2 linked regions of the Oryzias latipes genome follow. The protein of the gene in region 1 interacts with the protein of each later gene in a biochemical or structural test. Links are inferred from orthologs where the notes say so. Each region holds a gene or a part of one and is shown in the gene's direction. Other genes may lie near its edges.

Evidence for each region.
Region 2: the proteins of hip1 (region 1) and cltb form a complex in vitro, tested with the Homo sapiens proteins (2 studies listed by BioGRID, with this or other methods). The link is inferred for Oryzias latipes from reciprocal best matches to the Homo sapiens genes HIP1 and CLTB.

Annotation. Positions count from the first base shown.
Region 1 is NC_019871.2:22,388,667-22,392,237, reverse strand, and holds part of hip1 (huntingtin-interacting protein 1), read left to right. Parts: intron 1-68; coding exon 69-252; intron 253-402; coding exon 403-491; intron 492-589; coding exon 590-706; intron 707-782; coding exon 783-884; intron 885-1,100; coding exon 1,101-1,295; intron 1,296-1,377; coding exon 1,378-1,525; intron 1,526-1,602; coding exon 1,603-1,689; intron 1,690-1,768; coding exon 1,769-1,876; intron 1,877-3,571. UniProt on the Homo sapiens protein: Plays a role in clathrin-mediated endocytosis and trafficking. Involved in regulating AMPA receptor trafficking in the central nervous system in an NMDA-dependent manner. Regulates presynaptic nerve terminal activity.
Region 2 is NC_019868.2:19,549,734-19,553,960, forward strand, and holds the start of cltb (clathrin light chain B), read left to right. Parts: upstream 1-1,401; 5' UTR 1,402-1,603; intron 1,604-1,682; coding exon 1,683-1,845; intron 1,846-2,685; coding exon 2,686-2,732; intron 2,733-2,921; coding exon 2,922-3,039; intron 3,040-3,153; coding exon 3,154-3,265; intron 3,266-3,575; coding exon of another isoform or gene 3,576-3,596; intron 3,597-3,961; coding exon 3,962-4,015; intron 4,016-4,227. UniProt on the Homo sapiens protein: Clathrin is the major protein of the polyhedral coat of coated pits and vesicles.

The DNA of each region.
Region 1 (3,571 bases):
GAACCTTTTTCAAACCTTCCTCCCAACGGCATCAACAAAGCAGCCTTTTTTGTGGGCCCTTCCACCAGAGCGGACGCCTTTGCCAAGCGCTAAGGGGGCGTGTCAGTGAGCTGGAGGCGGAGCTCGCCGAGCAGAGCCACCTGAGGATGCAAGCGGTTGGAGAGAGCGAGTTCCTGAAAGCAGAGCTGGACGACGTGCGTAGGGTCCGGGAGTACACGGAGAAGGAGCAGAGAAGTCTGACCGAGATTGAGAGTAAGGCTAGTGCTCATATGTTCGTTTTTATTCATTTTATTGACAAAGAGGGTAAAAGTCTTTGGTAAAAACGTAATAATTCAGATCAAACGGACTCAAAGAAAAGCTCCTAAAATGAGTTACAATCTCGTTTTTGTCTGTGTTTACCAGAAAAGGCTCAGGCCAACGAGCAGCGCTACACCAAACTGAAGGAGAAGTACACAGAGCTGGTTCAGAGTCACGCAGACCTGCTGAGGAAGGTCCGAGGAGCTCATCCCACCATTTCACCTTCAGGAGAGCCTTCTGCTCCTCAACATGAGGTCACATCCCCATCACAAGCTTTCTGTGTCCACTCTAGAACGCAGAGGTGACCCGACAGATGACTGTCGCTCGGGCCGCGCAGGATGAAGTGGAGGTGTTGAAGAAGGAGATGCAGGAGAAGGTGAAGGCTGTGCAGGATGTGGCAGACAGGCAGGTGAGGATGGGATGACTCTTTCGCCATGCTGTTGTCTGCCGTGGGGTCTGTGAACGCCATGCTGTCTCGCTCTTAGGAAAGGGAACAGCAACGACAGCTTGAAGACATCCAGAAAGAGCTGGTGTGCACCCGGGAAGAGCTGGATACCTTGAAATCCTCCGTGACCTCATCTCAGCAGGTCTCCTCAGAAATAAATACACTTAATGTAAAGGGAAAAACTAGCTTTGCTGTGTTCTTTGTGTCTTCAGTTCTTAAAAACCTCCCATTATTTTCATGAGGCTCCTTGAGGTGGCCGTATGAGCCTCGAGAGGAACTGCAAGACACCCCTAGTTCTTCTTCTTCCCAGATTAATCTTAGGTTCACCTGTTTTAACAGTGTTCTGTTCCCTGTGCAGTCCAGAGAGGCGCTTAGCTCCCAGATGGCAGCTCTGGAGTCGGAGAAAGCCGAGCTGGTGCAGTCAATGTCGAAGGTGGAGGCAGAGCTGGAGGCCCAGAGACAGGAGCTGCAGCGAGCCCAGAGCTCACTGGCGACTGAGAGAGAGAGTGGGGTGAAAGCCGCAGAGGCCCTCCAGAATCAGCTCAACGAGAAGGTTCGACAGTCTCCAGACCAGAGGAAGGCGCCGTTTAGCAAGGGCCTACGTTGGGCCTGATGGAGAATGTTCATGTCTACAGGAAAGCAGGGAGCAAGCGCTGGAGAGCCAGCTGGTGGCGGCTCGCTGGTCAAGCCTGCGAGGCGCAGTGGAGGAGGCAGAGAAGATCGTTCAGGACTCCCTGTCTCAGATAGACGACCCGGCTCACATCAGCTGCACCAGCTCTGCAGGTGGGAGGCAGAGACTGATCCATTCAAAACTGGAGCAATCTTCGGTGCACACTTTCATATGCTCATCCGTTCTGCAGACTACCTGGCATCCAGGTGTCAAGCCTCTTTGGATTCACTGGACCATTTGAATTCTTCCATAAAGACCTTCATGGATGACAACTCAGGTGAGAAACTAAACATCAAATGCCCAGGACAACCGCAAAAACAAGAGCTATGGCTCATTTCTGCTCTTTTCTCCGCCAGCCGTGTTGGAACTAGTGCGAGCAGTTACACGGAGTGGCCACCTGGTGGGCGAAACCATTGTCCAGGGCAGTGCCACCTCTCACATGGTGCCTGTGGAGAAATCTGATGGTGAGCGTTGCCGTCCTCTGTGGGCCATGCAAGTCTTTCTGTTGAAATCCCACGATGCATTTCTGTCAGTCAGCCAGTAACTTGGAATTTTCTGTTCCCACTCGTTGCTATTTCAGTTGAAAGTCTCTGCACCATTTCCACACAGTTTCCAGAACTCTATTTGAAAAAAACTGCCGCTTTCCCCCCGCTGACTGAACAGAAAAAGAAAAAAAAATCTCCTTGGAGAACGACAGGTCTTCCAGCTAAACAGGTCCACTGCTTTCTCCGCTGTTTTTTCTGGCTGCTGGGGGTTTGATGGGAGAGCCGCCAGGCTTCCACGTGCATCTGGCCTGCAGTAGAACTAGATTTCATGTCAACACTTTGAAGCATTTGCATGTAAACGTCTCTAAATGCCTCTATAAACAAGTCTACATAACCAGCCCAGTCTTTGCCCTTACATGGATAATCGCCCCGCTCCTCCATGGGAACCACAAAATGCTTCCATTCTTTCCCTCATTGCTGAATCTGAGCCAAAACAGGAGAAGCAGAGTCGTTGTTTTGTCCCCTCCCTCTGGATAAATTGAGACGAGTCGCAACATGTCCACATATGTGGCAGACAGACAAAAAAACAATTATGTCAGGCTGCATGGTTTGGGTGGAACTGCTCTTGGTTTGTGAGGCTCGGAGACCTCTGGACAGAGCTTTGATTTGACCCGAGAAACATCTGAAGGCGGAGCGTCCGCCTCCAGGTGGTGCCCAGTCGCTTCTGTGGCAGTCGTTTTTGGATTAGTCACCGCTGCCCTTACGGGGGGATACAGGCTATCTGCGGGCCAAAAAAGGGCAAATCTGTACGGGGCACTTGCAAACTTTGAAGATTGCCTGGTAGCCCGCAGAGTGAAATTGTTCGTGTACTTTTTTTTAACGGGCATGCTGTGGGCCACAGGTTGCAGCAAACAAAATCTAAGGATGACATTTTTGAGATGCAGGGGTGTCATATGGATTTGCTTCCTGCGCAAGGAACCCAAATAAGGAAATTGGAAAATCAGAGTGTAGTTTGTGTAGACAACTTACAGATGTCATACGGGCACTTACATGTCTTTCTCATAATATCATTAAGGGGCCAGTGCACGCACCGTACTAATGACTAGAGTTTGCCGTAAGGACACCATACAACAGCATCACCCATTTGTCATAAGTGAGCATAACTTCCATTATCCTACTGAATACAGTCAGGACCTTAAATATTTGGAGAGAGACACATCCTTATAATTTAGTTTCTGTACATAACCACTGAATTTTAAATAAAACAATTCAGATGCCATTGAAGTGCAGACTTTCAGCTTTTATTTCATGGGTTGAACAAAAATATTGCATAAACACATGAAAAACTAAAGCATTTTTTAAACACAATCCCTTCATTTCACGCCCATGAAATGAAGGGATTGGGTTTAAAAAGTTCACTGTGGTAATGTACAGAAACTAGATTAGAAAGATTATATCTCTGTCTAAATATTTAAGGTCCTGACTGTACATCACAATACACTTACCACACGCATGACGATGGTACGTTCCATTTTTATGACGTCCCTTAAGGTGGCTGCACGGGCCGCAAAGGCGTGACACGCCTACGCGTCCCTTGGTCTGGGTCGCACTGGTGGCAAGGCCATCAGAAGGATATCGCCCCAGTAGCTGCAAAAGGTGACACAAGCTGATGAC
Region 2 (4,227 bases), on another chromosome or scaffold:
TCCCTACCATGACAAAGGTGGATAAAGGTGGAAAGCTTTCATGTAATCCATGGACGCCAGTGAAGATCACAAATCATTGAAGAAAAAAGGTTCAGAGCACTGTCTAGTGGGTCTAGATGACCCAACTCCCAATGTCAAAGTGCCTGGGATAGCACAAGGGTTAAATGGTTAATGCGTTTGTATACTACACAAGTGCAACTAAATAAATATAATAATAACATACCAGATGTTTGTGCAAAATGTGGATTTAAAGGCACATTGAAGCATTGCATGTGGGAGTGTCACTAAATACAAATCTTTTTGGAAGAAGTTAAAATTACAATAGAAAAAATAAGCTCGAAACAATCCTGTGGATGTCTCTGTGTCTATTTTAAATACACCTGACAGGCAGCCTTTGATAATAATAATAATAATAATAATAATAATAATAATAATAATAATAATTGATACTTTATTTATCCCACAATGGGGAAATTCTTCCCTGCATTTTGATGGGTAAAAAAAAAGTAAAAAAGTTACTTAAAAAAAAGTAACTTGGTTTACTTTTAACAGCAGCACATCATAGACACCACATGCTAGTTTCTTTCAAAATAAAATACACCCTGTGCCAAATAAGATTCTCCTGCTGCAGCAGATTGAATCGAATTAGAAAATGCAATAAAGCCAAACATGTTTTTTTTAACTATCATTTGCCTTCATCTTTTTTTTCTCCTGTTACTTCTGATTAAACAGGGCAACATTTGTGTAGAATCCAGTTTTAAAAAAGAAACCTACTCATGAAAAAGGCAAACTTTTAACAACTTTGCCTCCTAACACCAACTAGACTCTGATTTGCAGCAGAAGTCAATAATATGTGCCTCAAGCGTATTCTAAAACTAACCAGCTCTGACACTAGATTAAACCTTTAACCGAAAACCTGCGAAAGAGGGTCTAAGGGCAGGGATGCCCAGTTTAGTTTAGTCTGTTTAGTTAGTTCAGTTTAGAATTTTCCCATTGAATTCTATGTACTCATGATCCTTTTGATTTTAGCCCACGAAGCCCATTGAGACGACTGTTTTCAGAATCAGAAATACTTTATTGATCCCACACGTGGGAAATTTGTGCAATTTGTGTGATCATAAAAGAAAATAGAATTATATAAAAACAAAATAAATATAAACAAATAAGGTGGTGTAAATTTAAAAAACTATTTACAAACATTACAGGCAAAAATGTGGGCTATACAAATAAAATTGAATTGAACCATCGTTTTGCTCAGTTATCTGACATGTTGAAAATCTAAACATAATTGACATTACTTAAGTAAACAAATTTAACCAAAACTGCAAAACCATTCAAACTGCCTTTTTGGTCAATTCCATGTATCGCCAGCAGATGGAGACAAACTCCAACAAACGTGGGAGCTCCGGGTTGCTGCCGTTGTTCTATCATGACAGTATTGGAGAAATCATGAATCACCACCGTAGGCCTTAGCTTGAAGCCTTTTGTTATTGTTTGTTACATACGGTTTATTTGCTTATTGTGGTTTAAGCAGTGTCTTGCCAAGATTAGTTGGTGGCTCAGTCACTACTTCAATCCAGATTTTCAATCCTGTAGAACTCCGGTATAGTTTTTTTTTTTTAAAGCTTGCTGAAGCTACCGGGCTTGCTTTGTTAAACTAACTTGCACTTTTTTTGTAAAAGATGGCTGACAACGGAGCACACCCGACTGAAGAGGACCCGGCTGCAGCTTTTCTGGCCCAACAAGAGAGTGAGATAGCGGGGATTGAAAATGATAATGACGGGTTTGGGGCGCTGGAAGACGCGGACAGTGTCCAGGCGTCTCACCCGCAGACCGTAAACTATGGTAAGTTGATGTCTGAGCTAATGCTAACATTAGCTAGCATTCAAACGTACTATTTATCTGGTTTGTTGAGCAAATAATTGCAGCGATTTTGATAAACTGGCCAACAAATCACCCCATTCATATGAAGCGCAATCACAATTTTATGAAACAATGAACAAGTTTAAAGTTTGTAATAGTTGAATTGCTTTTTCTCCAAAAATGAACACAACTACTAACGTTAGCTTTGTAGCTTTGCTAGCAGATGCAAAATGGTTTGTTTTTCAAACCGGAGACAGTTAGTTAGCCATAATTCAGTTTAACATCCACCTGTTTATGTCAACATATGTCAAATGTAATTAAAAACTGTGATAACTTTCAACAAATGTGTCGAACATGTTGTTTAAGCTAATTTAAATGACATCTTCTTAGCACTGCTACTATACTCTTGACGTGTAATGTCAATTTCTGTAACCTCTCAAAGTTTTTGTCCAATTTTCCATAAAACATTTAGGCTTATTAATGTCATAAACCCGTCCATCATTTGTAACTTGAATAGAAAAATATATTTGTTTAAAAAAGAGACTAAATAAGTGTAGAATCAATGTGTATAACTACTACCTCATCAGATGCTTCCCTGGCTTTTGTTTAAACTTGAACATTTTTCTTTTTATAAGTCTGTGGAGCAAAGATGAAATCAGTGCCCAGACAGGTACTGCTTCATTCCTGATGTCTCAACCGTTTCAAGAAGTTGATACTGAAGCTAACACTCAGTTCAGTCTAGAGCGGGCTGAAGAAAGGAGCGACTTCCAAGGAGACGGCTTTCATTCAAATCTTGATTCATTTCTTTTCCCATCATGTTAGAAGGCTTTGAAGAGGAAATCGCTGCAGTAAATGGAGAAATATTTCAGGTGAGCTGAAGTCTTTCTGTCTTATAAAAGGCCCGTCTCTTTGTATCGTCAAACAGCTGTCGTATTTTTGGATGACAAGATTCCCGCACATAAAGTCATGAATTCTTAGAATTTAAGATTTGGTTTCATCATGAATGATCCTTGATGTGCTGTGTGCGATTAAGCAAATGCTTCGCTTTGTTCTTAAAGGAGTCCAATGGCCCAACTGACAGCTATGCAGCCATCGCCCAGGTGGATATTCAGAGACAAGAACCGGAAAGTTTACGCAAGTGGAGGGAGGAACAGAAGGCCCGCCTTGAAGCATTAGGTCAGTATGAGTTGTTAGAACTTGTACGAAAATTACAGTTTCAACACAGTTTTACTCTTCTATCATATAGCTTTTTTTTAAATTATTATTATAATTTTTTTCTCACCAAACTAGACTCAGCCTCTAAGGCAGCAGAGGTAGAGTGGAGGGAGAAGGCCAAGAAGGAGCTGGAAGACTGGCATTTACACCAGAATGAGCAGATGGAGAAGAATAAAGCCAACAACAGGTGAGGGTCGGTCCCTTCCTCTGCTGACGTGCAAACAGGTTACGCCTGTTAATGAAACTTTACTTAACACTAAAGCTTTCCATTTTATAACCAAAAGATGTTCAGAAAAACGCTGTTGTTCTCAGATGAAATGATCCTTAGAATGAATCTGTGGTCATAGACTCTTAGAATCAGTTAAACATGAATTACTTTTTTGTTTAATGTACAGAACTGGATTTTTATTTTGATCTATATACACCCACAAAAACTGCATCAAGTGTTCCTCATCTTGTCCCAAGTTAACCTTTTCTTCTCTCACAATTTCCAACAGACTCTGTCCATCTCTGGCACGGTATCATTCTGCATCTGTAGCTCAATTATTGTGCTTTGTTTGTTTTTTGTTTTTCCCCTCAAAGCACTGACCGACAGTTTTCTGATGAGATATTAATACCAAGAAACAAACACAGGAAGCTGCTGGAGTTGAAAGAATGCAAACAGCAGAAAGGACATGTTCCTTGTTATACTACGGCTCTTTGAAACAGACATTTGCGATTGTGAAAATTTGAATTCTAATTACATGTTTTAATATTGAGCTATATGAAAAACCTCCTCATCAGAGCTCGTGTCAGTTCTTCAAAATCACCCCCCTAACTTTTCTCTCACTCTAACTGCTCTCCCCTCCCTCTCTTCCTGCCTTCTTGCCTGCCCGTGTGCTAGGATTGCTGACAAGGCTTTCTACAAACAGCCCAACTCTGATGTTATAGGCCTTGTGTAGGTTTAGAACCCTTCTGCTTTTAATATTGTCTGCTCTAGCCTCTCAAGTTACCTTATGCATGCCCTCACCTTATATTTCTTAGACTTAGGTAGTGTTTCTTGCATTTTTTATTTGACTATTGTTGAAACTAGCGAGTGTTTTTGTACGGAATAAGGATGATGGCTTTTTTTTTTTTCTATCTAATGTGTGTGGTTGACCGTAAAAATGC